3 linked regions of the Arabidopsis thaliana genome follow. The protein of the gene in region 3 interacts with the protein of the main gene of each other region in a pairwise test. Each region holds a gene or a part of one and is shown on either strand. Other genes may lie near its edges.

Evidence for each region.
Region 1: the proteins of GG1 (region 3) and XLG2 come close enough for resonance energy transfer, tested with the Arabidopsis thaliana proteins (one study listed by BioGRID).
Region 2: the proteins of GG1 (region 3) and BIR1 interact in a two-hybrid assay, tested with the Arabidopsis thaliana proteins (one study listed by BioGRID).

The regions. Positions count from the first base shown.
Region 1 is NC_003075.7:16,437,292-16,449,246, forward strand, and holds XLG2 (extra-large GTP-binding protein 2), read left to right. Parts: upstream 1-3,794; 5' UTR 3,795-4,287; coding exon 4,288-5,328; intron 5,329-5,421; coding exon 5,422-5,559; intron 5,560-5,651; coding exon 5,652-5,756; intron 5,757-5,838; coding exon 5,839-5,997; intron 5,998-6,077; coding exon 6,078-6,225; intron 6,226-6,338; coding exon 6,339-6,574; intron 6,575-6,682; coding exon 6,683-6,846; intron 6,847-6,954; coding exon 6,955-7,549; 3' UTR 7,550-7,715; downstream 7,716-11,955. Other genes in the region: AT4G34380 (Transducin/WD40 repeat-like superfamily protein), read left to right, coding at 1,544-3,031; AT4G34400 (AP2/B3-like transcriptional factor family protein), read left to right, coding at 8,032-8,118, 8,739-9,111, 9,191-9,337, 9,439-9,657, 9,742-9,765, 9,858-9,949, 10,054-10,305. UniProt on the Arabidopsis thaliana protein: Guanine nucleotide-binding proteins (G proteins) are involved as modulators or transducers in various transmembrane signaling systems. Binds GTP with specificity. Plays a role in the root morphogenesis by regulation of the cell proliferation.
Region 2 is NC_003076.8:19,600,551-19,611,570, forward strand, and holds BIR1 (BAK1-interacting receptor-like kinase 1), read right to left. Parts: upstream 6,598-11,020; 5' UTR 6,198-6,597; intron 6,069-6,197; 5' UTR 5,983-6,068; coding exon 5,143-5,982; intron 5,057-5,142; coding exon 4,034-5,056; 3' UTR 3,539-4,033; downstream 1-3,538. Other genes in the region: TGG3 (thioglucoside glucosidase 3), read right to left, coding at 753-893, 1,218-1,334, 1,432-1,463, 1,578-1,795, 1,874-1,989, 2,076-2,149, 2,202-2,329, 2,424-2,574 and 4 more; AT5G48385 (FRIGIDA-like protein), read left to right, coding at 8,921-9,983, 10,207-10,379, 10,722-11,020.
Region 3 is NC_003074.8:23,413,711-23,423,175, forward strand, and holds GG1 (Ggamma-subunit 1), read left to right. Parts: upstream 1-3,538; 5' UTR 3,539-3,552; coding exon 3,553-3,786; intron 3,787-4,297; coding exon 4,298-4,350; intron 4,351-4,490; coding exon 4,491-4,535; intron 4,536-4,610; coding exon 4,611-4,695; 3' UTR 4,696-5,271; downstream 5,272-9,465. Other genes in the region: AT3G63400 (Cyclophilin-like peptidyl-prolyl cis-trans isomerase family protein), read left to right, coding at 1-84, 173-629, 731-1,072, 1,155-1,235, 1,458-1,725; APG1 (S-adenosyl-L-methionine-dependent methyltransferases superfamily protein), read right to left, coding at 2,106-2,264, 2,341-2,647, 2,742-3,292; TRM5 (zinc finger CCCH domain protein), read left to right, coding at 6,704-6,817, 6,913-7,692, 7,763-8,491. UniProt on the Arabidopsis thaliana protein: Guanine nucleotide-binding proteins (G proteins) are involved as a modulator or transducer in various transmembrane signaling systems.

The sequences.
Region 1 (11,955 bases), on a different chromosome or scaffold from region 3:
GTAACTAATTTAATAACTAAAAACATTTGTATTTACCGGTATAGCTTCTAGTTGTTATCTCATTTTCTGATTTGATCCCAAGTATAGAGAAGTAACCCACAAATTGTAATAAATTACGGTTAAGACAAAAGAAGTAAAGAAACTGGTCTGAACTTATTATCATGAGTTTGCGTTCGCTTTTTTTTTTTTTTTGAGTAATTAAGCAAAAGAAAGGAGCTTTGTGTTTTGTCATTGGAGTGGCCAAATATATCAAACTTTCAGAATCTGTGCTCGTTCGTACAGTACCCATCAGATGCTACTTCCAGCTTTTTCCCTCTTTCAAATAAAAATAAAACTCACTGCTTTCTTTGCCTCAAAAAGTATCAGGATGATAAAATGTTGGTTAAATGTTGAATTAGTATTAGGATGATTACCTAAGGAAGGGGATTACTGCTTGATAAAAATGGTTTTCTTCAACAATAAGTACTTTCTTTTGGTATAAATGGCATCTAGTCTTATATACACATCACCGCAAAAAAAAAATTGGTTTTTTTTTTCAAGAGCCCACTAAATAAAAACAAATAATTGAATTAAGTTTGCAAAGGATTATACATTATTAAGTTGTTAATGCTAAGATGCAACTTATAGCAAGAACAAAAGAACGATTTGCAATAGTAAACGCCAATTTAATGGAGATAAGTATAAATAGTTAGCAATTGATAGATAGTGGAATCATGCCTAAACAATTTGCCTAATCTTTTCAAGTGGTGTATAGTCTTCTTGATATGTAAGTATATGTTTAATTATAATTCGTTATCAAGAATATTTGTCTGGATATATCAAGTGTTGTGGCCTTGCGGGACAAGGACAACAAATGCTCGACAATATTGTACATATATAAGTATTTATCTTTTTAACCAAACCAAAAAAAAATGGTATTTTAGGCAGTAAAGCTATGTGAAATGAGTTATGGAGGAGATTTAAGTACCTTTCGGCTTGCGTGCCTAATATTCCAATGTATCTGAACTCAGATGCATTTTACAAAGGACGTTCTAATTCAATGTAATAGAGAGTACATGTAAAGCCCACGGAAAAGAAAACATTCGATGCATGGATATAGTTTAGGATTAATCATAGAAGCTTCCTCTATTAACAACCACGTGTGAAGCACCCCTATCACATATCACAAATGACCAATCTTTTGGATATTTCGTGTCTGTATATATAAGTTTGCATTTATAAGATCAATTCTCGCAACCCCATAAACAATTCCTCAAGAGCCGTTGACAAACCAAAAAACTTGTTAATTAAAAGTCAATATTTGCTCTAGACCCTCCAATTTTCCGTAAAAATCTCCATAAAAGTCTCTGTCCCTCCTTGCCAACCAAAAACTACAAACACACATCATCCTTCGACTATCTTATTCATAGCTATCACCACCCAAAAAAGAAATCACCCTAATCAAAAAAAAAAAGGCAAGGAGAGATTTTATCATTATTCTATTTTCATATTTTTTGAAAAAACTCAAGCAATTGACTTTTGTGATAAAGATTTGAAGAAAGAGATGAGGAACGAAACGGGTGGTACCATGGTCGTTGATCTCCAAACCGATCCATATAACAACATTCACAGTCGCCATAATCTGAGCTACGACCTTAGCGAGGGTCCCAAACCTAGGCCTAAATTTGGTAATATCTCGAAAACTGACCACGACGAGATATTCCCTCCCGACGATCCCATCATTATCAACAGCAACGTGACTCACCAGCGGTTTAGCAGCGTCTCGGCCTCGACCATGAGCAGCGGTCCGGCCAGCGGAGAAGGTTCTCCTTGCGTAATGTCGCCTTGGGCCCGCGTGTCGCCTCCTTGGGGTGCAGATTTCAACGAAGACAATGTCCTCGAGACCAACGGTCTCATTGGATCTATTGTTAGAAAAGAAGGGCATATATACTCGCTAGCCGCTTCTGGTGACCTTCTCTACACGGGCTCGGATTCGAAGAACATTAGGGTTTGGAAGAATTTGAAGGAACACGCTGGGTTTAAATCCAGTAGTGGGCTAATCAAGGCCATTGTGATATTCGGAGACCGAATCTTTACCGGCCATCAAGACGGGAAGATCCGGATTTGGAAGGTTTCGAAGAGAAAACCAGGAAAACATAAGCGGGTTGGAACATTGCCAACATTTAAATCAATGGTCAAGAGCTCCGTCAACCCTAAGCATTTCATGGAGGTACGCCGCAACAGAAACTCTGTGAAGACGAAGCATAACGACGCAGTGTCTAGTCTTAGCTTGGACGTGGAGCTTGGATTGTTGTACTCGAGTTCTTGGGACACGACAATCAAAGTGTGGAGAATCGCGGATTCAAAATGTTTGGAATCGATACATGCACACGATGACGCGATAAACTCTGTAATGTCCGGTTTTGATGACTTGGTGTTCACGGGATCCGCAGATGGTACTGTTAAAGTGTGGAAACGTGAGTTGCAAGGCAAAGGAACAAAACATACGTTAGCTCAAGTTTTGCTCAAGCAAGAAAATGCGGTCACGGCGTTGGCCGTAAAATCACAATCTTCCATCGTATATTGCGGTTCTTCGGACGGGCTAGTGAACTATTGGGAGCGTTCAAAGCGGTCATTCACAGGCGGAATACTCAAAGGCCACAAATCCGCAGTGCTTTGTCTAGGTATAGCGGGGAACTTGCTGTTGAGTGGTTCCGCCGACAAGAACATATGCGTATGGAGGCGGGACCCGTCTGACAAGTCCCATCAGTGTCTCTCTGTTTTGACGGGACACATGGGGCCGGTCAAGTGCCTAGCCGTGGAGGAGGAACGGGCTTGTCATCAGGGAGCAAAAGCCTCAGTGGCCGAGGGAGACCGGAAGTGGATTATATACAGCGGAAGTTTGGACAAGTCGGTGAAAGTGTGGCGCGTGTCGGAGAGAATGGCCACGTGGAAGGAGATGGACGAGCCAGCAGCATCTTCAGAGCGGAAGAGCTCTTCGTCTCCGCATGAAGGAAGTGGCGCGTGGAGTTCACGCAATGTGGAAAAATAAGAGTGGAGGAGCATAGTGTGATTATTTACGAGAGTGTCACGTCGTCACGAGAGCCATATTCACGCCGGGAAAGAGACAGAGGATTGATTTCATTTTTATGACTAAGTCAACGGAGAGGTTTGTGCCACGCTAGCTGGTGTGAGAATCAAAGTCGGGTTAATGGTTTTCACGTAATGAGTTTTTTGGTTATTTTTTTCTTTAAAAAAAATGTTTGAAACGAAATTGAATTATTTATTTATTTTCCATAAATTTGTAAGATAACAAGAACAAAGACCGAATCAAACATATATATTTGTTTTCTTTAGTGGTCTATGTCGTGGTTGCAACTTTATAACTTGGAATTTTGGATGAGTCGTTTTCCTCTTCATTAGAATTAGTCTTTCTATATTATTATAATATAGGATGTTGATATTTTTTAATTGATTTTCCAACCTGGAAATATCCACCCAAAGTTGTTAGAAATTACTAATCTTTGTGAATTTACTGTTACCATTTAAACCTAATCTATCTTTATGAGCAAAAAAAAAAAAGTCTTATTCAATCACTTAACCGAAAACATTTCCACAACCGGGATCATCATATATGTCTCTGCGCCTCTCTTTGATAAATACTTAAATAGGGTCAACACCTCCGGTTTTCTATTAACCGTGTAATTCGGGTTATGCGAACATTATTGCAGGACCGAAGATATATTTACGAAATTGCCCTCTCTCTTTGACTCCATCAACGCCTTTCGCAACGCATCGTTTTCAACTCCCCTAACCCGCGTTGACGGCAAGAATTTTCCCGGAAAATAACTCATTTTTCCTTTTGATTGCAGAGAAAATAAAAAACAAAGAGAAAGTCTTCCCCTTTTTTTGTCAAGTCCTCGTCTTTTACTAGTGTATACGATCCAACCCATCTTTCTGTCTTTCTTCTTTTTGTTTACTTCTTCTGCAAATTCCCTTTTCCCGGAAAATTTATTTGCTGATTTTTCTTCCTTCCATCGCCACTTTCCTGGAAAAAAAAACTAAATTTCGTCTCTTTCTTTAAGCTAAAGGAGCTTTCTGTGATCAATTTTTTCTATATTTCTGTAGTTGCGTTCTTATTTCACGCGCTTTGTGATTTGATTATTTAAGCCACTAATGGCTTAGGATCTGTATATTATCACTTCATGAATTCTCGTTTTCTCGGATAAGTTGTTAAGTTTCTAAATTAGGGAATTTTAGGAATTAGGGCTTTTTTGGGTTTGTATGTGTGCTTGATTGGGTAAGAAGATGGCTGCAGTTATAAGAAAGTTATTACCTTTCCCATCACCGAATCCTAAAAGGGATAATCGAGAAAGTGACGATGATGATGAAACAAGTAGTGGCTATCGAATCGAATATTCATTCGCCAGTGAGTATAAAGGTCCTCTTATTGCTAATGTGCCACGAGCTCTTCCCGTTGAAGTTGATCAGATTCCTACGGCTCTTCCCGTTTCCTTTTCTTCCTTGCGGAGTGGTATCTCTTACCCAGTGGCACCTCTCGTTATGACTAAGGATACCAAGAGACCACCTGATTCTGGAATAGAGAAGAAGAACGGTTTCGTTGACTCTGCAGCTGGTTCTAGTGTGGTTTTGATAGGGCGTGATGTTGTTTCTGGCTCATCATCATCATCATCATCAAAGAGGTTGGATGTACCAGAAGAAGTGAAAAGTCCTGCTGATTTTCGGTTATCACCATCATCACCATTGTCTGCATCAGCGAGAGAGGAGGATCACTTAGATGATGACAGAGTTTCGGATGTGGGACCTAGAGCAGTGAGATTCGTTGAACCTTTTCAGAGTAGTGAATGTGATGAGAGCTCCTATGTTTCTGATGGAGAAAGTATAGCTGCAACGCATAGAGCTGAAAGGAAAGGTAAAAGAGGATCGTGTTACCGGTGCCAGTTGGGGAACCGGTTTACTGAGAAGGAAGTCTGTATTGTCTGCGATGCCAAATACTGTTTCAACTGTGTGCGCAGAGCCATGGGTGCGATGCCCGAAGGAAGAAAGTGTCAAGCTTGCATTGGTTATAGGATTGATGAGTCCAAGAGAGCAAGTCTCGGAAAGTGTTCAAGAATGCTCAAGCGCCATCTCACGGATTCTGAACTTCGACAAGTCATGAATGCCGAGATCACCTGCAAGGCGAATCAATTGCCTTCACGACTTATCATTGTCAATGACAAGCCTTTAAGTGAAGATGAGCTTTACACGTTGCAGACATGTCCAAATCCACCCAAGAAGCTAAAACCCGGACACTATTGGTATGATAAGGTTGCTGGCTACTGGGGAAAGGTACAGTTTCTTATATATGTCTGCGTATCTATTATCGGGATTGTATTTTGAGTGCTCAGCTAAATCAGAGCCTCTATGTGTTTATTTAATCAGATAGGAGAGAAACCTAGTCAGATTATAAGTCCTAACAACAGCATAGGAGGATACATCAGTGAGAAAGTAAGCAATGGAGACACTGAAATTTATATTAATGGCCGGGAAATAACCAAGCCAGAGCTCACGATGCTCAAGGTTCTTTTGCTTTTCACCTTTGTTTTGGATAACAAATATGCTTAGTGTATGTGTCATTGTTCTGAACTGAGCGCTTCTTTGCTTTGATGTAGTGGGCGGGGGTGCAATGTGAAGGAAAACCTCATTTTTGGGTCGATTCAGATGGTTCTTACCGAGAAGAAGGTCAAAAGCATCCCATCGGGAACATCTGGAGTAAGGTATGGTTTCCTGATCACCAGCTTTTCTCGTTCACAACATTAAATATAAAACTAAAGACAACGAAGGATATTATTTTTACAGAAGAGAGCAAAAATTGCTTGCGCTGTGTTCTCTCTGCCAGTTCCTCCGGCTTCGTCTGCAGTAGAACCATATGATGTGCCCTTATATGAGCAGAAGATGCTTAACAAGCTTCTTTTGATTGGTAGCGAAAAAGGTGGCGCCACTACAATTTACAAACAAGTGAGCTATTCATCTTAATGCCTCCCACTTGAATGTTTCACATCTAGTAAAGAATCGGGAATTGACTTCTTCTGTTTCAGGCAAGGTCTCTCTACAACGTCTCATTCTCTTTAGAAGACCGTGAAAGAATCAAATTCATAATCCAAACAAATCTCTATACCTATCTGGCAATGGTTCTTGAGGCACATGAAAGATTTGAAAAAGAGATGAGCAATGACCAGTCTTCAGGTAATTATTATTGACTGTACAAACTATTAGAATAAGAATGCATTCATATTCTAATACAAACATCAGTTAACAATTGATTATTGAGGAAGACTGATCGAGTTCTTGGGATTTAGGCAATGTGGGAGATGAAACCAGTGCAAAACCAGGTAACTCGATCAACCCGAGACTAAAACATTTTTCAGATTGGGTTTTGAAAGAAAAGGAAGACGGAAACCTGAAGATATTTCCACCATCAAGCCGTGAGAATGCTCAAACCGTTGCAGATCTCTGGAGAGTACCAGCTATTCAAGCCACCTACAAAAGACTTCGCGATACACTTCCCAGGAACGCCGTTTATTTTCTTGAAAGAGTAAGTTTACATCAAGTTGCCTGCTTGCATATATAAACGCTCTTTCAGGACCTTAACACTTTTGTTTAAGGGGAAAAAGATGACTGACCCAAATTTGTTTCTTCTCAGATTCTTGAGATCTCGAGATCAGAATACGATCCTTCTGATATGGACATATTGCAAGCGGAAGGACTCTCCTCTATGGAAGGACTTTCTTGTGTGGACTTCTCATTCCCATCAACTTCTCAAGAAGAGTCTCTTGAGAGCGATTATCAACATGATACAGACATGAAGTTAGTTCTGTTCTTTTTCCTTGTGTTGCATTCCGGCTATATGAAAAACCGTTGAACTTACCCTCTCTCTCTCTCTCTCTCTCTCTCTCTCTCTCTCTCTCTCTTTAGGTACCAACTCATCCGGCTAAATCCGAGAAGCCTTGGTGAAAACTGGAAATTGCTGGAAATGTTTGAAGACGCTGACTTGGTGATATTTTGTGTCTCACTAACAGACTATGCAGAAAACATAGAAGACGGTGAGGGGAATATTGTGAACAAGATGCTTGCAACCAAACAGCTTTTCGAGAACATGGTGACTCACCCGAGCCTAGCTAACAAAAGGTTTCTTTTGGTTCTAACCAAATTTGATCTCCTAGAAGAAAAGATCGAAGAGGTTCCTCTAAGAACCTGTGAGTGGTTTGAAGACTTCAACCCATTGATCAGCCAGAACCAGACGAGCAGACACAACCCTCCAATGGCTCAGCGTGCTTTCCATTACATTGGATATAAGTTCAAGAGACTCTATGACTCAATCTTGGAACCCGTAAATATGCGTGGAAGGAGCTTTAAGCCAAAATTGTTTGTTTGTCAAGTGAGCTTGGAGAGTGATACTGTGGACAATGCACTGAGGTATGCGAGAGAGATTCTCAAGTGGCATGTTGAAGAAACTTCCATGTTCCAAGAGATGTCTACTACTAGCATAGAGGCCAGCTCGTCCTCTTGATATTTTTTCCTAAAATTCTTTCTTTCTTTGTGGAAATTACATAAGTTTGTTTCTCTCTCTGTGTGTATGTTTGTTGTATATGTAGTAGTGTGAAGATACATTCATGTGATTGATTTTTCAGGGGAAAAAAAATAGAGAAATAATAAAGTGAATTTTCCCGGTTTAACAGACATTTACTTATACGGTTATTGAGGTTGAACTGGACCGGAGTAGCAATAAATTATCGGTTCAGTTTGGGAGATCAAACCGTTTAAAAGAAAATAATTTGAAATGGCCACGCAGAATACGAGGGTCTGAGGATTGTACCTCCTTTCTCTGCAAAAACTTAAACGTTGATTTGACTCAAGCGTCAAGGTAAGGTACTCTCTCTTCATACAACATTTTAGCTTTACTTTTTCTCTTTACTCTTCTCTCTCTCTTTCTCTTTCTCTTTCTCTTTCACTCGTTCTCTCTCACTCACTCTCTTCACACACAGATCCAAGATGGCCTCTTCAATGGCTAGCAATGATTTCCAGCTCCCTCCACGTTTCTTCACTGTTTTCGTCTCCCATTTCAGCTCAGAGTTCATGGTAAGATTTTCTCTCGAGGTTTCTTCTTTCAGGTTTATCTGTTCATGAGCAAACGATTCTTGAACTGGGTAGATTCTCTTAGCCTAGTGGTTTCTTTGAACTATGTCTGATGGTTTTTATGAAACAAACACTGTGTTTATCTGCATTTAGCTTCCTCTATAGATTTTGCTTTTTCTGTTTCTAGGGTTTTGCTCTTATTCCTACCCTTTGGTTTCCTTTTTCTGACTAAAGATTTAAACTTTCTGTATGAATCAGCTTAATTTATGGACTTAACACTGGATATGTTTGGTTACTGGAACTAAATTTCATCAAAGTATAAAGTAGTTTTGCTCAGATTTTGTTTTCTTTTTCTGTTGATGAATAGAAACATTTGTTCTGCTTCTAAATGCTGAAAGATATAAAATTTTGAGACTGGATGCTTTGATTTTGTCTGGTTCTGGAAAGTTGACTCTTTTAACTGTCCCTACGCTTTTGGTTGAAACCAAATCTTGTTGTGTGTGGAAAGCCTCTTTAATGACTCTCTCCGACTTACCTTAAAGTTATCTTGTTTTTTTTGTGTCTTTACTTATCTATTGAGTGTTTGGCTTATAAGTTAAACAATTTTTCTGTGAAATGAGCAGGTGATCCCAGTTTCCTACTACGATCACATTCCACATCGTTTCCCCAAGACTGTGATTCTCCGAGGACCTGGTGGATGCTCCTGGAAGGTAGCGACGGAGATAAAGGATGATGAAGTGCTTTTTTCACAAGGATGGCCCAAATTTGTTCGGGATAATACTCTTAACGATGGAGACTTTTTGACCTTTGCCTATAATGGAGCTCACATATTCGAGGTCAGTATCTTTCGCGGCTACGACGCATGTAAAGAGATTAGCGAAGTCACTGAATTGGAAGAGGAAGAAGAAGACAGTGTTATATCTCTGAGCAGTGAAGACACAGACACTGGTGCTAAATCTGAGATGAAGAATACAGTCCCGGAAGGCAGAGACAAAGGTTCATTGTTAGCTTTTTTTCCCATCACTTGCTTTTATGTGATTTTGCTTGTTTTGACTTTTGAGATTTTTGTTTGCAGGAAAGTCAAAAGTGGAAGTTGTGGAGGATTCTGATGACGATGAGGAGGAGGATAGTGTTTATTCTGAAAGCAGTGAAGAAACAGAGACAGACACTGATTCTGAATTCAAGGTGGCCAAGCCAACAATACCAAAAAGCCAGAAGAAAGGTTTTAAACTCATCGTTAGCTCATTGCATAACTTGAATTGTTTCTTTATGTGATTGTTTTATATATTGACAATCATGTCTTCTTTGTTGAGATGTTTTCAGGAAAGAAGAAAGAACAAGTTGTGGAGTCCTCTGATGACGAGGAAGACGAAGAGGAGGACAGTGACAGTGATTACATTGAAACGTTTGGTCAATTGGATATTGAAGAGAATTCCATCAGTGAGGAGGACAGTTCTTATGCTCCTGATAAAGAAGACACAGCCACTGCCTCTTTTGTCAAACCAAAGGTTGCAAATAAGGTTGCTAATCTGAAGAGGAAAGGTAAAATACATTTACTTTCATCACTTTTAACTTCATTTCTTCCATGCTTATCTTAATGCAACATTGCTTTGTCTATGGAACCAGAGGCGGCAAAGAAGAGGAAGAAAGGTAATCACATTGTTGTCTTAATTAGTTCCATCACTTCATTATGTAATTGATTTTTGAGATGCTAATGCTTTTGTCTCTTGAGATTCTTACAGTCGATCCCATGATCAAGAATCCTGAGAGATACCTCGATGATCCTAAGAATATCCATTTCGAGACAAACGTGAAGAATAGGTTATACGAGCTGGTAAGAACTGCAACTTCTTGTCCTCATATACTACTACTCTTTTTAACTTAAAGATTGTTTTCATTAACGTTCTTGTCTGCTTTGTGTACGTATCTTTTTTACAGTTGGTTCATGCACAACTGGTGAAAGACTATTGCTTGAGGTTTGGAGACTATGTTAACTACATCGACAGGTTCGGGAAACTAAGTGCTAAAACAGCCAAATGGAAGGATCAGCGTGTTTGTATCAAAAGATGGATGCGCATATGCAAGAGGAACAAGTTGAAGAAAGAAGACCGCATTTTGTGTGAGCTCTTGCGCAAGGGAACTTTCGTTTACGCAATCAAACTCCATGTCATCCGCGGTAAGGATCTGTAGACGCTAGCAGTATGAGTAGAGGAAGAGATTTGGCTACTTAATTATCTCTCTGATTTCCATCTTGTTGTGTGATCAAGCAAACTTATGTGTTTCATTATTGTCTACTTCAGATTGTATGACCTTCTCTCTTGTTCTCTCATGAATCTATTTCTGAATACAATATCTAATCTTTGAGCTAAAGTTTAACTCTTAAACCCTTGAAAGAGTAAAAATCCTTGAAAAAAAAAAAAAAAAAAAAATCCTTGAAAGAGTAAAAATCAAAGAAAGGTCGAAAACTGTATATTTGTCTTAGCTTTTTCTTTCTACAATCTGTTTTTGGCAAGATTTTCTCTTGAAAATTCTGAAGAATCTAGGTATACTGGTTTCCACGGAATCTCCTGTAACAAAGATCAAAGTAGAAGAAACAGAGGACTCATTCACTAAATATATAACCTTTGAGGAAAACTAAATAAAATATGTACCTTCCTTCTTCATCCTCGTGATATCGCTTGTTGATTTCTCTTAAATGGAAGCTGCTTCACCAGAAGTGAGGAGAAACAAAGAACAAATTAGTGAGAGGAAGTGAGAAATGACCTTGAAAGCTTTGTGACATAATAATTGTGAATTTTGTGATATAAAACAGAGTAGCTACTCTGTTTTTAGTCCAAAAATAGTAACTTCCATTATCAGAGTAAAATATACTAACCAACATAAAGTTTGATTATTTTGAAAACTTTGACTTGGATCATTATTTATTTTATAGTTTACCATGTCGACGTTGGATATTTCTTTTGTGAATTTTTTGGCCTACAAGTTTTTTTTTCAATTCCAGTTTTGTGGGTCCTATCGTCACGTTTTCGAAAACCTCTTCTTTTTAATTGAATGTTTGCTTTCATCTTTACAAAACAGAGCAAGCTACTCTGTTTCGAGTCCAAAAATAGTAACAATCATTATCATAGTAAACATACAACTAAACCAACCCTAAAGTTTTATTATTTTTGAAAACTCTGATTTGGATCATTTGTTATTTTCTAGTTACATTACCATGTCGATAAGGGAATGATATTTATTTCGTGAATTTTTGGCCATACTTCCATTTTTGTGGGTCCTTACTCCTTTCTTGACGTTATTTTTTAAAAACCTATTCTCTTGAATAACTTTGATTTCTTCTTTAGCATAATTCTTTCTTTGGATATGCTCCACTTTTTGCACGAAAATAATCATTTTCTCCTGAAGATAATCAATTTTCGCAAATTGCATGTCAGTGTCACTATCTTTACAGAGCACGCTTTTACAGACTAAAATTTTGCACATAAAATATCTTAATTTTTTGTTCAAAAAAAAAATATATATCTTAATTTATTATTTATTTTCACATGGCGAACATTTGTTTTTTTAACTCAATGAGTTTGTATAGATGAAGTAAACATGAGGACAATTTAACGAAAGTTAAGTCACCTAACGCTTTGAAATCCAACCTACCAGCCTGAATTTATATTTACACCACTTTGAATAACTCATTTCTGATTAGAGTTTTTTTTGTTTGTTTGTTGGAAAGCTGACTAGTTGAAACGTTAGACTCTAAATAGCTTGTTAATCAAACTGGTTTCAACTATCTTCTTTAAACCACTTTGATTTTATAGCTACTAAATTTATTTACGGATTATCTTT
Region 2 (11,020 bases), on a different chromosome or scaffold from region 3:
TTTGAAAATGGGGGAAGGTGAAAGAGAAGATGGTGAATCATTCAAAGGAAGGACATTGTTTGATTTTTAGTTCCTTTGACTTTGGAGTTTTTTTAGATTGTTTCTTTTTTTGACATTTGCTTTAGTGTTTTTTTTTTTACAAGGTTAGCTTAAAGAGCACTCTGTCTGATTCTCATCAAACATTCTTTATTTTCTTTGTCTTTTTTTCTAATTTTACAATCAACAATTTCAATAAAATTTGAGAACGTATGCATGTTGATTAAGCTTGTTAAAATTATGTTATTGTGTGTTTCTTCTACACTTACAAATGGTATTGGAGCCTTACCTAGCACAAGAAGATATTCAATCTTAGGGAAAGAGACTGTAAAGAACATGGAGATACGATGGTTCATAATTCATTGGTGTTGGTCGACCAACATTCTTGGATGCCCTAAGCTACGACATTGGATAATCAAGATATGATGCCTAAGATCATAGGGATTCATCAGAACGTTTAGACATCGGTTGTTTGAATCTGAATGTGAGTCTCCAAACTAATTTATTGGAGACGGCTATGTCGCAACAAAGTCTACAACAGAATGGTTAAAACTTAAAACATAAATTAAAAAGTGTCGAGATTCAGTGCTCTAGGCCTTAAGCATGGCAATAATTTCCTCCCTTTTCTTATATCATAACTCGTTAAACATCAACAAAGAGGTCCAAACGAACAATAAGGATGAATATATAACTCAAATCGTCAGTCACTAGATGAATTATGCTTCGAATGAAGGGAACGCTCCTTTGTCCTTTCTATGGAGCAAGTAGAAAGGGGAGACATGAAATGATCTTGATGGCCATAATTCATAATTATCCCCAAGACACCAAGCAAAGTATCCTTTCACATTGCAACCAGACTCCCTAAAAACAGGAACAATCATTAGAGACAATTTTCTTGTTGATCATACATCCATATACATATATATAAAAATTAAGTAGAAGAAGATAGGAAGACGAGTAGAATCCACTCACTTGATGGCCTAACGGAGAAAACAGAGATGACTGCATATATAATCAGTCCTGTTGGAATCAGCTATAACATCAAGGGCGGGTGTGTCACCACCGGGGCTACTATATCCTAGTTAGACCATCGTTACCAGTTACACAAATGAGTCGATTTCTTGGACCGATTTAGAAATAAATTAACTAAACATGCATAAAGAGAAAAAAAATATAATTACAAGGATAAGTAACTCACCGTTCTCAGTGATATAGACTAATGGGTTTCCGTATTTAGTTTTGAAGTGCTCCAACACGTTTAAAATTCCTCTTGGATGGTAATAACTATCTGCATTGAACTGAGAAAGGGAAACATAGATAAATCCCAAGTATATTTATGTATGTTATCTTTTTCTTAAAAATAATGAAATATAGGGATGGATCATGCATGCATACCCATGGACCTATGGGACCATCTTTATTTTCATCTGTAAACACAAAGATAAAGTAATGGGATGGTCACAAAATATTGTAAACAAATTAAGAAGATAGTATTTGTAAAGAAAAGTTGTAACTAAATAGCAATATAGATATAGATGTACATGAGAATGCTGAGAGCGAGTCATTCAGGACGGTGAGTCTATTCGGAGGATTTGCGGGAATGGCATAGACATACTGAGTTTGGTAGTAGTTGATACCAAGAAAATCATATGAACCCTTTACAAGTTTGGCTTCTTTCTTATTGAACTTTGGAAGGCGTCGACCCACAAGTTTTCTCATGATATCAGGGTATTTACCTTTTGTTAGTGGCTCCATGAACCTATTTTATACACATGCCTTAATAAGTTTCTATAAATGTACATCTATTATTTATTTTTGGATATATTGAGAGATATACCATCCCAAGAAGAATTCTTTGTTCCTCTCAGTCGCATCTATGTTGGCTTGAGTGCTATCATATGGAACAAACCATCTAGTAATCATCACAACTCCAATCTGTCCTCTTTGTTTTGGCTGTTGTGAGGAAGCATTGCATATATATATATAAAATTATCTAGAATCAGATGTCAGATTATATCTTTTTCAACCAGAGAACTCACCTTATATTTTTTCCGGTAAAGATGGACGACTTTGGCATGAGCAAGAAGCTGGTTATGTGCAACGATATAAGGTTCTTCCAGAATCTCCGGCGTAACAATCTTTATTAAGCCAATAAGAACATCGACCCGGTGCATCTGTTCCCATTGCATAACCTCTAGTAGGAACGGTATAGAGTTGGTTGATCGTGATCCACTTCTTAACCCTATCACCGAATATCTTGAAACATAGATTCGCGTAATCTTTGAAATCGTCTCTGCTCATATTATAGAATCATTTCGTTAATGCGAGATCAAATCTTTTATATGTTGTCATATTTATTAAGAAGTAGCATGGCATCGATAACATACATGATCTCATGGTTCAAGAAACCTTCATATTCATCTTGCAGAACTTGAGGAAGGTCCCAATGGAAGAGGGTAACAAAAGGAGTTATATTCTTTGCTAGGAGGCCATCTATGAGATCGTTATAGTACTTAACACCTGCTTGGTTTGATTCCCCTCTTCACCTTTCCTCCTGCTCATATAGATCGTAGATTTATTTTTACGACAAACAATATATATTCATATATACATGCATGGATTAATGTGTACATACTTGGAGCGATTCTTGACCAAGCAAGCGAGAATCTATAGCCGTCAACCCCGAGTTCGGTCATTACGTCTATATCTTTCTGTAGTAATACAAATAATCACATGTAAATTCCACACGTAGTTGATAAAAATTCAGTGACTAAATTCAGTAATTCCACACGTATTAACCTGCCAGTGCTCATATGATCCACAAGTGCTGTCTCCATTCCCTAAATCGGGTCCTCCTTTCTCTGGTAGCGTACAAAGACATTACTATGAATGTATAGAGAGATAACGTACCGACACTTCTCTCGTATAAATATGTAAGCCTTTATATATCAACCATGCAAACGACAAACCTGGATATCGGTGAGTGAAGCCATCCCAAACGTTAAGGCCACGGCCTTTTCCACCTTCTATCTGAAGTGAAACAAAACAACCATGCAACGTTGGAATTTAGTGTTAGTGAATTGTTTTTTACGTCAAAATTGGGAGAATATGTGATCTGTTGCATGCCTGGTAAGCAGAAGATGCAACACCGAAGATGAAGTCATCATCGAAATGTTTTCTGTTGAAACGATCAGTTTGGTTACATGTGAATGGCTTGGTCTCTTCGCACGTAATCTCTTCAGCTTTGCAAGTCTCCACTGCTAATAGAAGAACTAAGCCGAGTGCACGAAACTTCATGGTTAATCGGTACATGTATGTTTTCATTCAGCTGCATGGAAACCTAATGCGGTCTCAATTAAACTTTAAAAGAAGAAGTTTTTGTAGAAAATTTAATCTTTGCTTTGTATATTTGTTTTGGTGTCCTTAAATAGAAATTTTACATCAAGGAGCTAACGAAATGGAATCATGGATTCCTATAAAATTGGAAGTGAAAAGGTGATGTAAGAACACTTGTTAATTCTTCTATTATTGTCGACGAGAATTAAGCAAAAAAAAAAGAAAACCAAGAATTGACTAAGTCTAGTTATTTTGAATTTGGTATTCTTGACCCAATCATTCGTCATTGCAATATATTTGTGGTTTGTCCAATTTCGGACAGAGTTTCGTTGAAATCTCCATAGTCAGTGGGTCCAAATCGAGCACATAGTTAGTCTTCAAAGATATCCCACGTGATGACTGTATTCTCCTCAACCAAATTAGTGCTGCAAAATATAAGGCAGCAAAGACGTAGTGGCAAAACCAAAACAGTGACTGTACCACACACCCAAAGCTTAGTACATAGTAATAAGAGAGTGCATCTAACAATATATCATATTACAACACACCATCGACGACGAGAACCCAAAAATAAAATAAAAACAATACTTATACATTATATATATCTTTGGACTGCTACGACTAGAGATGTTTGTTTCACAATTCTTACCCTTCCTCTTGATCAACGAGCAACTATGAGCTCTTCAATGAAATCGCCTTCACCTGATTCAGATGGGATTAAGATATCATCATCGGCGGTGAAGTTGTAGCTCTCTCCAATGGCTCTTAGAAGCTGATAAACTTCAAACATGGTTGGCCTCTGCTTTGCTATTTCCGGTAGAACGCAGTTGCATGCTACTTTGAGTACTTTGAAGATTTCATCATCCACACCGTTCCCAAGTAAGGACCTGTCGATTGCTTCCTGCAGTTTTGATTCACTTGATAGCTTTGTAATCCATTCCACGAGGTTACCCTTGAAGTTTTCTTCCTCAGCTTTTTCTTCAGATACTTTTGTTACACTCGTTGCTTTTTGGCCCGTTACTAGCTCTAGAAGCACAACACCGAAGCTGTAGACATCTCCTTTTGGAGTTGCAACCATGGTTCTTGAATACTCGGGAGCAACATAACCGAAATCCCCAAATTCTCCATTGACGAATGTGCTTAAATGGGTATCAATTGGGTTCATCAGCCTAGCTAGACCGAAATCCGAGATCTTTGGCTCAAACTCTGCAGTCAACAATATGCATTTCGAGCTTATGTTGCGATGGATGATTCTCGGGTTGCAGCTATGATGAAGCCATGCCAATCCTTTTGCCGTCCCAATCGCGATTTTCAGCCTTGAAGGCCAATCCAAGGGCTTGAAGGATTCTTCATCTGCAGGATGTAACTGATCATAAAGGTAACCGTTTGCCATGTACTCATACATTAGAAGCCTCTCCTTATTGGCAACACAATAGCCCAAGAGAGGGACTAAGTTTCTGTTTTTAACAGAGCCCAAAGTCTTCATCTCTGCATCAAACTCTTTCTCAGAGCGTTGAGAATCCTGCAACCTCTTTATCATAAGTAGAGACCCGTCTTCAAGCCTACCTTTGTACATAGTTCCTGTTCTTCCTGTTGCAATGATATTATCTTTCTTGAATTCCTCTGTTGCCTTCATAAGATCGCTTAATTTCATCTTTGAAACCGATTTCTTAAACATGAAAACCTGAACATTCACAAAAGCACCAAACATATATCATAAATTTAGAACATAACCACATACAGCAAAATTCAAATCAATGATGTTTTTACCTTAACACCTTTCTGTCCTTTCAAGCTCTTTGCCCATCTGTTTCCTTCAGGATCATCCTGCTTCTTCCGAACAGCACCCAATTTACGGAAATAGAAGAACAAAACAACCCCAACGACTAATGCTGCTGCAGTCAGTCCACCAACTGCCGCTATAATAACAACTTTACCACGAGAGCTAGAAGCACTCTTACAGTCATCTAGAGGCTTACCACACAGATCCAGGTTATTAGCAAACAATTCCTGCTTAAACTGCAAGGTTTGGTTGAAATTTGGGATAGGACCAACGAGACGATTGTCAGACACAGAGAATGTTTTGAGCCGTCCAAGTTGCGCTAGCTGGGGAGGAAGAGTACCCGTGAACTGGTTATGCTGAAGCATAAGAGTGTTCAAAAAGGTAATGTTGGAGATCAACATAGGGATTTCACCAGAGAAGCTATTGTAGGAGAGGTCTAGAATCGTAACAAGTGGAATCAAGGTGCTAATGTTGGCTGGTAAAGGTCCAGAGAAGTTGTTTCTAGAAAGATCTAAACCAGTGAGATCAGCACATAGCTTAACCGCAGGAGGAAACACTCCTCTAAGACCATAACCAGATAGCTTAATACTCAAAACCCTATTCTCATCATCATGCCAACAAGTCACACCACTGAACTTGCAGATATAACCAGCAGTCTCGTTGCCAAAAACCCAAGTCGATAAATATCTATTTGGATCCTCTACTTGAGATTTAAAGGTCCTTAAGCAATCTATGTTGGCCTGATCCGCGTCAACCAAGCTCGAGAGTAGCAGCAAACAGAGACAATTATAGAGCCAGATTACAAAAACTAACCTACCCATCATCATAAATCCACTAAATTCCACAAAATGTGTAAAATCTCTATGAACTACAGCAACAAAATCAAGGGTTCTCTTCGATGAGCATCAAAATCCTGTAAGCAAATAAAAAAAAATCAAAACTTTATTAGCAACAACGAAAATTGGATTATCGCCAGCGAATCAAAAAGACTAAAGCGATCTTTAAAATTGAAGTTGACTTAGAAAAATTTACAACAACTTACGAATCAAAATCAGAAACACAAAACGAAAGCTTTGGTCTTTGTAGTCGTCGTTGTCGTGGTGGTGGTGCTCTTGTTCATAAGTGTTGAAGAGCACAATGAAGAAGGAGAAGAAAATCGCATCTGTGGCTAAGTGGTTATGAATGATGATGATGATGATGATGAAGAAAGGAGTTGGGAATAATTTAATAAAGGAGTCGTCTTTGTGAGTGAGTTGACTGGGACTTTGGATCGTCGTCGTCGTCTAGTGAAAGTTCGTGAAGAATGGGGCAAAGAAAAGAGAGACACTGATGATGAGAACGCAATGACTCCCAACAAAAACCAAATCGGTCTTTGCGCGTTAAATGTTTTTTTTTTCTTTCTTCTCTTTTTGACTTTTCAACATCATCATATATATTATCTTGTTTGTTAGGAGATGGACAAATTTTTCTTCCATTTGGTATTTTTCGCTTTTCATTCGTTTTTAGATAATTCTGGATATTTTGTAAATGGTTTTGGTGTTTTGACCAAATCAAAGAATGGAATATGACATTTACAAGAAATGTTTTCTTGGTATTAGTTTTTGACAAATACCAATGCATAATAATTTGTATCACAAAAATTGAATATCATGTCACATATTTAAATACTTATTAGGAGTAGTACTTATTTTGTTGTTGTTGGAATCTTTAAATTATGGGTTGACAGTTATATATATATATATATATATAAAAAGCTTGTTCATTTAGCAGATGTACCCGCCAACCACGGTTCAGCAAACACCCCAAAATGTTAATTCGTGTTGTTTATGTATTGTCAGTTTGTAACATAACGATTTTAGAAATTTTACAGAGTGTTTATATACAGAGACTCTAATACCATGTAGACTAAGAGTATATCGAATATATGAAACAAGATGATTACAGAGTGTTTATATACAAAGACTAGAAAGCTACTGAAGGAAACTTAATATTGTATACAATGATTATGAGCAATTAACGTGATTGACGATATTGATTCTCTTCATTATCTTGATTGATATGATTATCCTTGATAGTCAGTTTGTAACATAACGATTTTAGAGAGGAGATAAACCACGAATCACAACCTCTAGTCTCTCCCAAGCCAAATCCGCCATTCGTGACCTGAACCAACTTCGAAATTCATTTGATATTTGTAATGTTTTGTACCAAATCATTCACCATATATAATACAATTGTAGAATTCCAACAATTTGGGAAGTTGTAAGATTTATTTACTCTTGGTTTAGTCTTTCCTCTTTGACAAATACCAATGTATAACCAAACTATATTTTCATTGTTGCTCTTATTAAGAAAACAATCATATATAAATTTTGCATTCAAAAAAATTAGACACATAGTTTCATCCTTGGAGACAATTTATATGATCGAAACATCCGATGAAGAATATCAGTCTATGAAAGATTGTGCAATCTAGTTTTTTCCCCATTATAACATAGCCTTAAGCATGAAGCCAAAGCTTCGTCAACAGGTTAAAAAGATTGGGTGTTTGGTAAAAAAAGTTAAGGAATTTAAAGAGTGATTGATACACATAGATGGTGAATATACCAATTAATAGAAAAAAAGGAGGAAAGAGTAAATTACAAGTTCCCGGCAGTTTCAGACAAACTCACGTGACGCAAACTTTAAAGGGTTTGACTAGAGCCACATAAGCTGTCTGGTCCGAACCAGATATGATAGTGAAGAACGAGCCATTAAACCACACCAGTCTCTCTCACGTGCCAACTAAGTAAAATTGGGTGTGCTTAATAAAGTGTCTGTTATAAATCGCTTTGCTTCCTTTTATTTTGCCTCTCTTCTACTTTCCTCTTTCCTTTTTAGGGATTTCACTTTCCTCTTCTCTCTCTCTCTCTCTCTGCCTAACCTCGATTTCTCTCGATCGCTCTTCACCATGGATCTACGATCATGTGGTCCTTCTTGAAGTTTTTTGATCTCTTCTTCTTACGGGTTTTTACTTCGTTTGATTTTCCTGGTAAAGTTGCTTTTTTTTTATCTTCTCTTGAGGTATATACTTTTTTTTTGTTTTGAGTTCATGTTCGTGTTCTCTTCACTGTAGCTAGGGTTTGTTGATTTCTCCACAATATAGCTCAAAATTTCTGCTATGACCTTGAATTTTGGTCGTGAAGTTTGTTTATGTGATGGATTAAGCTGGGATTTCATAGAATCACTGAATCAGCTTGCTTGTTTCTACTCTCATTTCGTCATCTACTCTTCTCTTAATCTGTATTTGTATTATTTCAGCTAATTTTTTTATAAGTACGTCTGATTAGTTCTTGAGGTTGAATTATCTTTGTGACTAAAAAATAGTGTGAATTTTTCTTGAATGGATTCATTTTTTTGGGGGTTTCTTGTTCATTTGTCTTTACTTGCCTTGTAGGCCATTTTCTTACATAGTTGTCCACTATGACTTGTACGGTCTTGTTACAGAGCTAATTTGTTTTTATCTTTAACGAGTGATATTGTCATTGGATAGTTTTGACTGATCTTTGTTTATCTGTTCTTGATGATTTTTTTTTTTGTAGTTGTTTGTTGTTCAAGGATCGAGATTTCGTGGAGCTCTCTATTCGCAGCTTGGAGATTGGACTTGTTTGAATTGGTAACAATATTGTGTCTGGCCTCTAATGTCGTTGTACTCATGTTTGTTTTTATTTGTTCGGGACTTTTTAATCATTACTTAAATTTCCGTTTTATTTAGGCTCTTTTGTGATGGAGGATACTCGGTCAGTTGCTTCACTCATGGACTCTACATCATCCAAGATTCAGCAGCTTCAGAAGGCGTTTGCTGAACTTGAAAGTCAGCGTGCTGTAACACTTAATCTGAAGTGGAAGGAACTTGAGGAGCATTTTCATGGGCTTGAGAGGTCTTTGAAGAGAAGGTTTCATGAGCTTGAAGATCAAGAAAAAGAGTATGAAACCAAAACAAGGAAAGCTCAAGAACTGTTGGAGAAAAAGAAGGCAGCTGTTGAGGCTAAGGAGAAGGCGGCGCTTGAAAGGCTTCAGAAGAAGAGAGACGCAGCTATGTTTACTATAAACAGTGCTTTGGATAAGTATAACAACGCTCCTGTCAGTAAACCTTCTGTTGGTGAACGTTGGCCACAAAATGCTGTAGAGGATTCATCCAATGTCTTTGCTGCTGATAGTATTACCGATGATAATCCGGATGGTATTGTGCAAGATGTTCAGATCTCACCTGTGATGGGAAATTATGAGGTGAAGGCTTATCCACAGTTACTGAAACTGTGCGGGGATATGGACTCAACGGGTCTCCATAAGTTTGTATCAGATAACCGCAAGAACCTTGCATCACTAAAGGAGGAGATTCCTATGGCGTTCAGGGCTGCAGCAAACCCAGCCAGCTTAGTGTTGGACTCTTTGGAAGGGTTTTACCCTATGGAGGCACCAACTGCTGATGGAAAAAAAGACGCTAACCTCTTGGGCATGCGCAGAACCTGTATCATGTTGATGGAGTGCCTTAGCATACTGTTATCTGGTCTGGACCGCAACTGCCTTGCTGTTGTTCTCTCACAAAATGTTAAGCATAGAGCCAAAACTATTGCAGAAGGATGGAATCCACTGCTGGAATCTCTTGACATGGATGCTTGCAATGGTAATTCTTTGGAGGCTCATGCATTCCTGCAACTGCTGGCCACTTTTGCTATTGTTGCTGATTTTAAAGAAGATGAACTCTTAAAGCTGATCCCCATGGTTTCACGTCGCCGTCAGGCAGCTGAGCTCTGCCGTTCACTTGGATTAGCTGAAAAAATGCCTGGTTTGTTCTCTTAACTTTTAGTATATGGCTGATTATCTTACAGGTTATGACATTTCGATAGGAAAGTTGATGTTTGATAGTAACTATTTAGTGAGTGATAGGGTCTCTGGTCAAGGGCCTAAACATGGTGGATATCTGTGTTTTTCCTTGTTTAGTTTACACCCAGATTCTCTACCTTATCCCTTGATCTTATCTTTAATGTGCACTGCTCCTTTTATTCCAGGTGTGATTGAAGTTCTCGTGAACAGTGGAAAACAGATTGATGCGGTTAACTTGGCATTTGCGTTTGAACTCACAGAACAGTTCTCACCTGTCTCATTACTGAAATCTTACTTGATAGAGGCAAGGCGATCTTCCCCCCAAGGCAGACCTGGCAATGCATCTCCTGCTGTTCAGGCAAGTGTTCCCTGACTTGATAACTTGCAGTTATAGATTACCTTGTTGGTGAAAATGAAGGGCTATATTAATGCATTTTGCCTAGAACGAGTGATCTTATCTTTTATTGAACTCGTTACCTTTTCTCGAGCATCTGGCTATTTGAAAAAGTAAATCTTACCTCGCTGGAACATTCCTGAGCTCTGTTCAGTTAGCTGTCATATTTTACTCCAGACTTCTAACACCATTTGAAACTGAAAACCGATGCTTTCATTATCAATTACTTTAGGCGTATATCATAGTACTTGCTGATGCAGGATCAGTCTCATATTGTTGTACATTATTATGTGTGTACCAATGCAGGATGAGTTCAATGAGCGGGAGCTTATAGGCCTCAAAACCGTTATAAAGTGTATCGAAGAGCATAGCCTGGAAGAGCAGTACCCAGTTGAGCCACTTCACAAACGGATTCTCCAGCTCGAGAAAGCCAAAGCGGACAAAAAGAGAGCAACAGAACCCATGAAACCTCAGCCAAAACGACCACGTGGTGCTCAACCCCGAGTCACTGACAACAACAACAACATCAACAACAACAAGACAGGATACGGTAGAGTCATCCCTGAAAGGTATCCGCAGTATGTCTATGACAACAGACCGTTCCT
Region 3 (9,465 bases):
GGAAACCTACTAGCCCAGTCAAAATAATAGACTGTGGTGAAACGTCTCAGATAAGAGCACATGATGCTGCTGAAAGAGAAAAAGGTAATGAAGTTAATCTTTGAATGTGGAGTTTCTATAATAATGATGGAGTTTCTAGAATAATGATGCAGATATATTTAATGTTTATTAGGGAAATCGAAAAAATCAAACAAGAACTTTTCTCCTGGTGACGTATCTGACCGTGAAGCTAAGGAGACACGCAAAAAAGAATCTAACGAGAAAAGGATAAAACGAAAAAGAAGATACTCTTCGTCAGATTCATATAGCTCAAGTTCCGACTCAGATTCAGATTCGGAATCAGAAGCATATTCATCTTCCTCCTATGAGTCTAGTTCTTCCAGTGATGGGAAGCATAGGAAGAGGAAGTCAACAACAAGACACAAAGGCCGACGCGGGGAAAGAAAGAGTAAAGGACGAAGCGGGAAAAAGAAAGCTCGGCCAGATAGAAAACCAAGCACGAATAGTTCAAGTGACACGGAGAGTAGCAGCAGTTCTGATGATGAGAAAGTGGGCCACAAAGCCATAAAGTCAGTGAAAGTTGATAACGCTGATCAACACGCCAACTTGGATGACTCAGTGAAATCAAGGTTTATCTCCCTGGCTTTATGTATTTCAGCTTTGCTTCTGCAATTTGGTGGTCTGATTTTGTGGTCACTGACAAACTTTGCCATTTTCTATTGCTATACAGGAGCAGGAGCCCAATTCGTAGGAGAAACCAAAACAGCAGGAGCAAAAGTCCTAGTAGGAGCCCTGTGAGAGTTCTTGGAAATGGAAACAGAAGTCCTAGTAGGAGCCCTGTGAGAGATCTTGGAAATGGAAGCAGAAGTCCTCGTGAGAAGCCAACAGAGGAAACTGTGGGGAAATCTTTCAGAAGCCCATCTCCAAGTGGTGTGCCCAAGCGCATCCGAAAGGGGCGTGGGTTCACCGAACGCTATTCCTTTGCTCGGAAGTACCATACTCCTTCTCCTGAGCGTTCTCCTCCTAGACATTGGCCTGACAGAAGAAACTTTCAGGATAGGAACAGGGATAGGTAACTTAATCTATACATACATACAACAAAGGACGATAGCTCTGCGGATAGTACTAAAGCCTCATTTTGTTTAATTATGTAGGTATCCGAGCAACAGAAGTTACTCTGAGCGCTCACCGAGGGGACGCTTTAGAAGCCCACCCAGAAGAAGGAGCCCTCCAAGGTTCGCTTTCTTATCTCTGTACAGATTCTGGCTTTGGCTTGGGACGATATAGCTTGTAAACCAGCACCTAGAGCCACTTGCATTAGATTTATATCCTAGAACGACCCTTTTTGTGATATTATTTTGGTTAAGCAAAACATTCTAATTGAATGCTGAAAGTTGAAAAGAGCAACTTTATAGCAATGTTGGATGTCCTCTGAAATTGAGTGTTGTCTTGCATAGGTACAACCGGAGGAGAAGGAGCACTTCTCGGAGTCCAGATGGGTACCGTAGACGATTGAGAGACGGAAGCAGGAGCCAGAGTCCGAGGCATCGTAGCCGTAGCCAGAGCCCTAGAAAGAGGCAGCCAATTAGCCAAGACCTGAAATCCCGTCTCGGGCCACAGAGATCCCCCATCAGAGGAGGACGCACCTCTCCTGCAGAATCACTCAGCCCTTCTCACTCACCTTCTCCACCAGGAAAGAGAGGTCTGGTTAGCTATGCGGATTGATGGTCACTCTCATCCATTGGTTTCTCTGCTGACTTGCGAGTTTTTGTTTTAATTTCCGTGTTTTAGTGCAAGCAATAATAGGTAATGATATTTTTTATGTTGGTCGGATATATAATACTCTACCTTAGTTGCATTATTACAGATCGTGGAACATTGATCAAATTGAGACTGATATATGTTGGCAGAATTGAGTTTGGGAATCGAAGTTTGTAGAAAATTTATCGAACAAGTAGCATAGATATCTCAACATGAAAATCTAGTAATACATGTAAAGAAAGAAGGTTAATGATATTCCGCATGTTCATAGATAGGACTCGAATCTTTCTTTACCACAAGAGGGGTTTACAATGATACAATGATCATGTCCTAGAAGAGAAGGATCAGATGGGTTGGTCTTTGGGAACGATCTGATCCTTGATCCACATGTAGATAGGGATTAACACAAACCAGGCAGCTGCTAGAGTTCCCAGGAGGAAGCGTCCCAAGAAGGAGAAGGGGTTGTTGACAGGCTTCTCTACGTCCTCTTCCTTTGGACCAAGCTGCAGCATTTGAGTGATAAGTTTAGTGTATCAAAGAGAGAAGAAAGTAAAAAAGGTGAAGTGGGAGGTAAAAGACCTGGAGAGGAGAGTCACCGGAGGCAGGTTTAACACCAGTGACAGAACATCCCATGATAAGGCCGTGCCTGCGAACACCACGGTACCACTTGGGGCCAATCCTCTTGAGCTGAACGTCCTTGAAACCGGCATTCTTGAACCACTCAATGTACTCTTCCTCCTTGGGGAAGAGCATCCAGACATCAGAAAAGAAGCGAGAGAGCCAGAAGGTTGGGTAGACAGGGCCGATGAGACACGCTTTGCCACCGATCTTGAGAACCCTGTACGCTTCCCTTATTCCCCTCTGCGGGTCCGGCCAGTACTCAATGCTGTGTGATGATGAGACACACAATCAAACCCACCGGAAAGAAGACGATTATAAGAAGAAGAAGAAGAAGAAGAAGAAGAAGAAGAAAAGGATACCTTCCAGCAGAAACGTATCTGTCAGCATAATCGGTTGGAAAAGGAAGATCCTCAGCATCTCCCTCGACGATCTTGCATTCTTTCAACGGCTCCTTTTGCTTTGCTTTGGCCAGCTGATGTGGCGACTGGTCCAGAATGGTCACATTCTTGGCCTTCACTGTCTTGACTATGCCCAGAGTAGTGAAACCAGTTCCGCCGCCGACATCGACCACTCGCATGTCCGGATGGCTGAGATCCGCTGGCTCAAGAGCGTCGTCTCTCATATCCTCGGTCCAATGCCCAGGATTGATGACATGGTCGTATACGATGGATAAGAACCTGTAGAACCAGTAAGCCTCCTTCTTGTGCTGAATGAACCTAGGTTGCGCCGATGGCCGGGAAGACGACACGCTGCTGCTGCTGCATCTAGTAGCCACCGAGAGTCTAGGTGTGGAGGTTCGGGTAACTGAGAGTAAGGTCGGCCGAGGAATCGATCTGGCATGCAAATTGGAACCAGGGGAACCTAAACCTTTGGGGAAGGTAATGGCCCCGTTGAGCATCAAAGAGGCCATCGATGACAGATCCACCAAGTTGAGAAGAGGGAAGAAGAAGCTTATCTATCACCAATTCTCCGCCAATCAAAAACACAAACGAGAATGAGAGTGTGACTAAACCCTCTAACTCTAACAGAGTCAGTACTGACTCCAACCACATGTTTATGTACGGTCACGTTGTTTGTTGCGACAACACATATCCCTTTGTTGAGCCCATGGGCTCATTTGCAAGAATTGGCCCAAATAATAGTATTGGGCGTTTTGGCATTTTTCTGCAAATGGAAGGGAAAAGTCGATTTGAGTCAGAGAGAGAGAGACTTCGACGACAATTCAAACTTGTACGGACTAAGACCAGACTCTCTCTGACGTTGTCAGATCTGCGACCTGCTAGCGAGAGGATGCGAGAGGAAACTGTGGTTTACGAGCAGGAGGAGTCTGTTTCTCACGGCGGGGGCAAGCACAGGATCCTTGCAGAGCTTGCCCGCGTTGAACAGGAAGTCGCTTTCTTGGAGGTAGCTAAACTAACTCGTATCTCTTTCAAATTCCGACGTAGGTCTCTCGTGGATAGCTCAATTATCCTTTTTAGATCAATTGTTACAACAATTAGGTAAAGGTCGCTAAGATTGTTTCCTGTGAAAGCAAAAACCAGTATGGCAGATCTGTTCCAATCAGAAGAGCATGGTAGTTCTCTTGACAATAAGTGGCACCATTTCAGTCAGTCTTGTTTATGACTCTATGAATTGTATTCCCAAAATCTAAATCTGCTGGGTTCTCTTTGGATCCACTATTGGAATGGTTCTCTGTTGATCTTATTCTTAGGGATGTGCAAGAATACTTTTGATCATAGTCCAATTAGTATCATTCTCTCTTGGTTATCATCTATCGAGGCATGTTAAAAGTTAACCTTCTCCCAAGTTTCTCTGTTGCACAGATAATGTGTTTGCCTATTGTTCCTACTAGTGAGCTCTAACACTTACTAAAAATAGCTTTACTCTCTCTTTCTGTTTCATGTACTATATCCAGAAAGAGTTGAAGGAGGTCGAGAACACAGATATTGTATCAACCGTGTGTGAGGAGTAAGTATGGGATACTCAACCTATGTTTTTTTTTAACGCTTGCAAGCAACTGTGTGCTAGCTCCTGTAGGTATATTATCTGGATTTGACTGAAACTTGTACGTTGATTGGTGATCAAATTGATATTCCCTTGGTTCGCAGGCTGCTATCTGTCATCGAGAAAGGACCCGATCCTCTGTTGCCACTGTGAGTGCTTTTTAAACCTTGAAACTCTAGTGTTGGTTTGGACTGAATAACTGATGGATGTTGTGGTGCTGGCAGAACCAATGGACCTTTGAACTTAGGATGGGACCGGTGGTTTGAAGGACCAAATGGAGGAGAAGGCTGCAGATGCTTAATACTTTGATTCGCTAGACAGAGTAATGTGTTACATATACTAGTTTCTTGCTAGGATATCATTTTACATGGGATCCAAAATGGGGCTGTAGCAGAGAAAAAGCGTACAGATTAATGAGCATTGGAATTGCATAGAACGGCTTAGTTGCACCTACGTAAACAGTATTATATGTATATGTAATGTATGGGATCCGGATCTGACATACGAGTAATGGAGTTTCAGGCTTACAGCTTCTCATCTTCTTATTCTAGATCTTGTTGAAAGAAGCTGAAATGTGCATAGTGATATTTGGGGGCTAATAGAGTAATAGCTAATGAGGAAGTGGGTACAATCTTGAAGACCGTTAAGTGTGTCTCTCTTTTTTCTTTTTAGATAACTTTTGGCCACATCCACCCTCCATGATACACACACGCTAGTTTCGAGGATCAGAATACATACATACCTATGTTTATTATATAGATAGAACGATAATGGAACACAGAGCACATGCCTCATCTGTTGTCTTTTTATTATTACTTATTACTCTTCTCCTCCACTTCTGTATTATTACAGTCTGTTAAAGTAGAACCCCCTTTTGTTTTTTTCTTTCTATGTCTCAAAAATTAAAACAAGTTATGAGGTTTAAAAAAAAAATTGAGAAATGTAGAGGGTATTAGTAGAAGTGATTTACGGTAAGTTTATTCGACAGCTAAAAAGATAGTTTATGCATTCCAAAATATTCCTCAAATTTGTGATGAGTAAACAAATACTGGTAAGGTGGGTTTTCTGACAACCTTTGGATATACAGTAGTATGTCATCTGTTTTCATTGCCTCATTGGTCAAGATCAAAGTTGATGACCTCATTAGAGCTCCTTCTTCTCCCATAAATAAAAAAAAATTGATCAAAGTTTGTAGTATGAATTTGTTATATAAACAGAAGAGAAATTAACACAGAGATGTGAGTTGGTCCAAAAGAAAAATGATTGAGCAGCCGGAAGAAGCACGTTACAACATCTGCAGCATATCTGGTCAGAGAGAGTACAGAAATATTGGGGATTCAAACAATTCACCTCGTGATGAAACCTGAACATTGAAACATGCATTATAGCCTCACTCACATGCTCACATAATGCCAAACCCTTTTTCTCTGTTCCCGCCTTGCTTTTTTTTTTCGTGGCAATAGAATACAATACATTGGTTGGGTGATTAAATAAAGAGAATGACTAGGATAAGTAAGTTAGCCGTTAAAGTTGTAAATCTCGAGTAAGTGAAGTGGTCCGTTTTTATGAAACTCATAAAAACGAAAGTCCCATGTCCCTAAAACACTAGTAGAATGTGGTAACGTATCTTCTTCACATTCACGTTTTCATATGGGAAACGAATGAAATAAACAATGCAAAACGCAATAACTTAATTAGAATCTTGAACTGGCCGATAAGTGCAACCGTAACGGAAAGCAGAGGCAGAGAGAGAAGAGAGAAGAGGGAGAGAGCTGCCTTGGGAATAGATAGAAAGAGAGCGTATCAACGGTGGTCATTACTTTATGATGGCATTCCCAACTTTGAAACTGCCACGTCGATGTCGGTCAACAGCGGGGTCCATATCTCCTCATCTTCCGTTCCATATTTTTTCCACGTGGCATTTTTCTTTCCTCTTGAAACAAGAATTCAGAATTGAATCGTAAACTCTGAACTAGAGTAAGTAAATAATGTATTGACTAGAAGAAGAAGTAAGTAGTACGGGCTGGGTAAGTAAAGATAATAAATATGCGGGGTTTGATCTTTACTTATTTATTAGGACTCAAACTTAGCCATTATTAACTCAAAAATCAAAATTACTCCTAAAACAAGCAGATAGGAAAAAACACAAATAAATAAAAAAAAGGAAATTGAATGCAGAGTTGTCAGAGTGTATTTAAAAAAGAAAAAAAAAGCACGTTAGGAGGAGTATCCTTTAGACTAGAGTAAGGGAGTGGGTGCTTTAAAGAAGCAGAGAAGCGGGAGAAGAGTGTGCAGCAGCAACAGCCAACAGAAGAAAATGGCAAAAGAGAAAGATCTGGAGAAGCAAATCGGCGGTTGCATGGCCGGCTTCTTCAACATCTTCGATCGCCCCAGTCTCCTCTCTCCTAATAAGCGTCTCTCTTCCTCTCCGGTAACTTGTCTATCTCTCTTTCCCTCTTCTCCTGTTCCTAGAGGGATGCAATGAATTGACTTACCAACAAAACAACAATGTCTGTGTTTCTCCAGAGCGCTGAATCTGAATCTGCCTCGGGTAGGACGAATCAGCAGAGTGTGTACTCTACCCCTGAGCTACGCTCTCCTGCGCCGGCTCAACAAAGATCTTCTTCTTCTTCTTCTTCTTCCTCTAGGCCTTGGAGGTTCTCTAAAGAAGCTCCGAGGCTCTCCCTCGATAGCAGAGCCGTCGTGGATGCCAAGGGCTGCCTCAAACACAGACAGATCCGAGCCGATGCGGTTGAGGCTGAGAACCAGCGCGGCTCACCCAGTGTGATCGCACGGCTCATGGGATTGGAGCCATTTCCCCAACAGCCTCTCCAGAGATCTGCATCCGAGTCCAGGGTCACCAGAGACTACATATTTGACTTTCACGATGACAAGGGAGCAGCTCAAGATCCGGCTCCAATTAGGAACGCCCGAGCCCACCCAACCTCAGTAGTACGCCGAAAGAGTTTCTTTGATTCCGGTGATTTCTTCCCGAGAGTTTCCAAAATGAGTGGATTTGACGCTCCCCCGACCGATCTGGAAACCCTCAAGCAGCTTCTCGAAGCTCTTAGGCTCAAAGGACTCTTGCACTCGTCTTCACTCAAACATCAGAGCAGGAATCTCGTCTTCGACCATCATTCTCCGATCAAACCAGTGAGGCGGGATCGCATTTCCCCGAGCGTCAATAGGAGGAGACCAAGACCAACGCTCAAGGAACAGAGGAGAGTCTCTTCACTCCCTTGGCGGAGACCAGAACCTCTCCAGACGAGGATTGAAGACCAGAGTAGCACTCTAGCCGAGGAAGAGGTACCTCATTCATTACTCGACATTTTATCTATCAAAAAGGCAGCTAATGAAATACAAATTCTGTAAGCAGATGTGGAAAGTGGATGTGTATAACAGACAAGGCAAAACCTTATTGGAGAGATGCGACAAGCTGCTCCACAGCATTGCTGAAATGGCCGCTGCTGAGGCCGGAGACTCACAACCGAGCCCCGTCTCTGTTCTTGACGCCTCAATTTACCACGAGGACTCTTCTCCGTCCCCCGTCCTGAAACGCACCCTTGACTTTGCTGATGCTGAAGAAGACGAATCCTGGGGTGGCTCAATATTATCATCGTCCGACTCTGAATATGTATACATCTCGGACATCCTCCGAGCCTCAGATTGCCTTCCACAAGAGTCCGACAGCTTCTCCTTTCTGGAAAAGCAGCAATACCTCAAAGGAAAATGCGCCTCCAGAGCCGCAGCTCAGGAAAGACGCCTCATCTTCGACGCAGTGCAAGAGATTGTGGCGCGGAGAAGGAGCTTGCCCCCGTGGATGATGGTAGGAGAGGCTGATAATAAGATGCAAGTGATCTGGTCTGAATTTCAGAAGATAAGAGACAAAAAGTCGTCCACGGAGGAAGATGACCTTGTGGGATACGTGTGCGGGGTCCTCGGAAGAGATTTGTCGGAGGACCGATGGCGAGATTTTCAGGTGGAGATGTCAGAAGCAGTTCTTGACGTCGAACGCCTCATATTCAAAGATCTCATCGGCGAGACCATACGCCAGTTGGCTTTTCTTAACAGGTCCGACTCGCTGCGTAGGAGGCTGCTCTTTTGATATAAAACTAGACTAAATTCTCTGACCCAAGTCTGAAACTAAACCCAACCTACGACCTATACCATGTCTAACCAAACATGCGAGAGTGATAGTTCTTTTGTGTGTTTTTTTGTGTGAAATGTGTGATTTATCAAGTTTGGGACTTGGCGCCTGTTGTCTAAAAGACTAAAACCATACACTCTTTTTTTTGCTCTTTCTGAATCAAACTGCTGCTCATTTGTGTGGTGTATTCGGACTAATAAAGACTTTAAAAGTGTTATGGGCTTCAAGTGGACCGTTTATCTCTAATCATAGTCTACTCCAACATTCATCTACTTCAGTAGTGGCCCATTCAGACCCAATAAGGCTTTTCGGCATTGACTTATATGAGCAGAGAGAGAAATATGCAAAAGATGATCAAAGAAAAACTTGTGATTTGTAATTTTCAAAAATATGCAAAGAAAAGCGGATCATACTCCAGTAGTCTTTTTCTTTGAAAAACAGAATCATATAATAATATCTTCCAAACTGTAAAAAGAAAACGAGAGAGGTAGACACAACACACACTTTTATTTTTTTTGAGGTGGAAAAAAAAACGTTAATGGGGGAACAAAGCCACGTGAAGGTGGGAAGAACGCACCAATTATAGTATAAGGTGACAAGTCAGCAGAGAGGTCACAGTCGTGGACCAATCCACTTCCAACACCACCATAGCCGTCCCTTCGACACTTTGGCTGACAAATGTTCAAAGGCATATTTTATATTGGGACCAAGATTTTGCTTGGGACAAGCTATGCCCCACGACTCTCCCGCTAGTGCTCTCTGGTCGCTTCTCCTCTGCTTCTAGAGACCAACCATTTCCACCAACTCTGTTTTCAGTTCACACACCTCATTCTGCAATGCCCACCACCGCACCAATGGAGTTGAGAAGAGCCCAACTTCTTTCTTCACTCTCTGTTCAAAACTGGACTGGTCAAACCATCATCTCTCTTTGA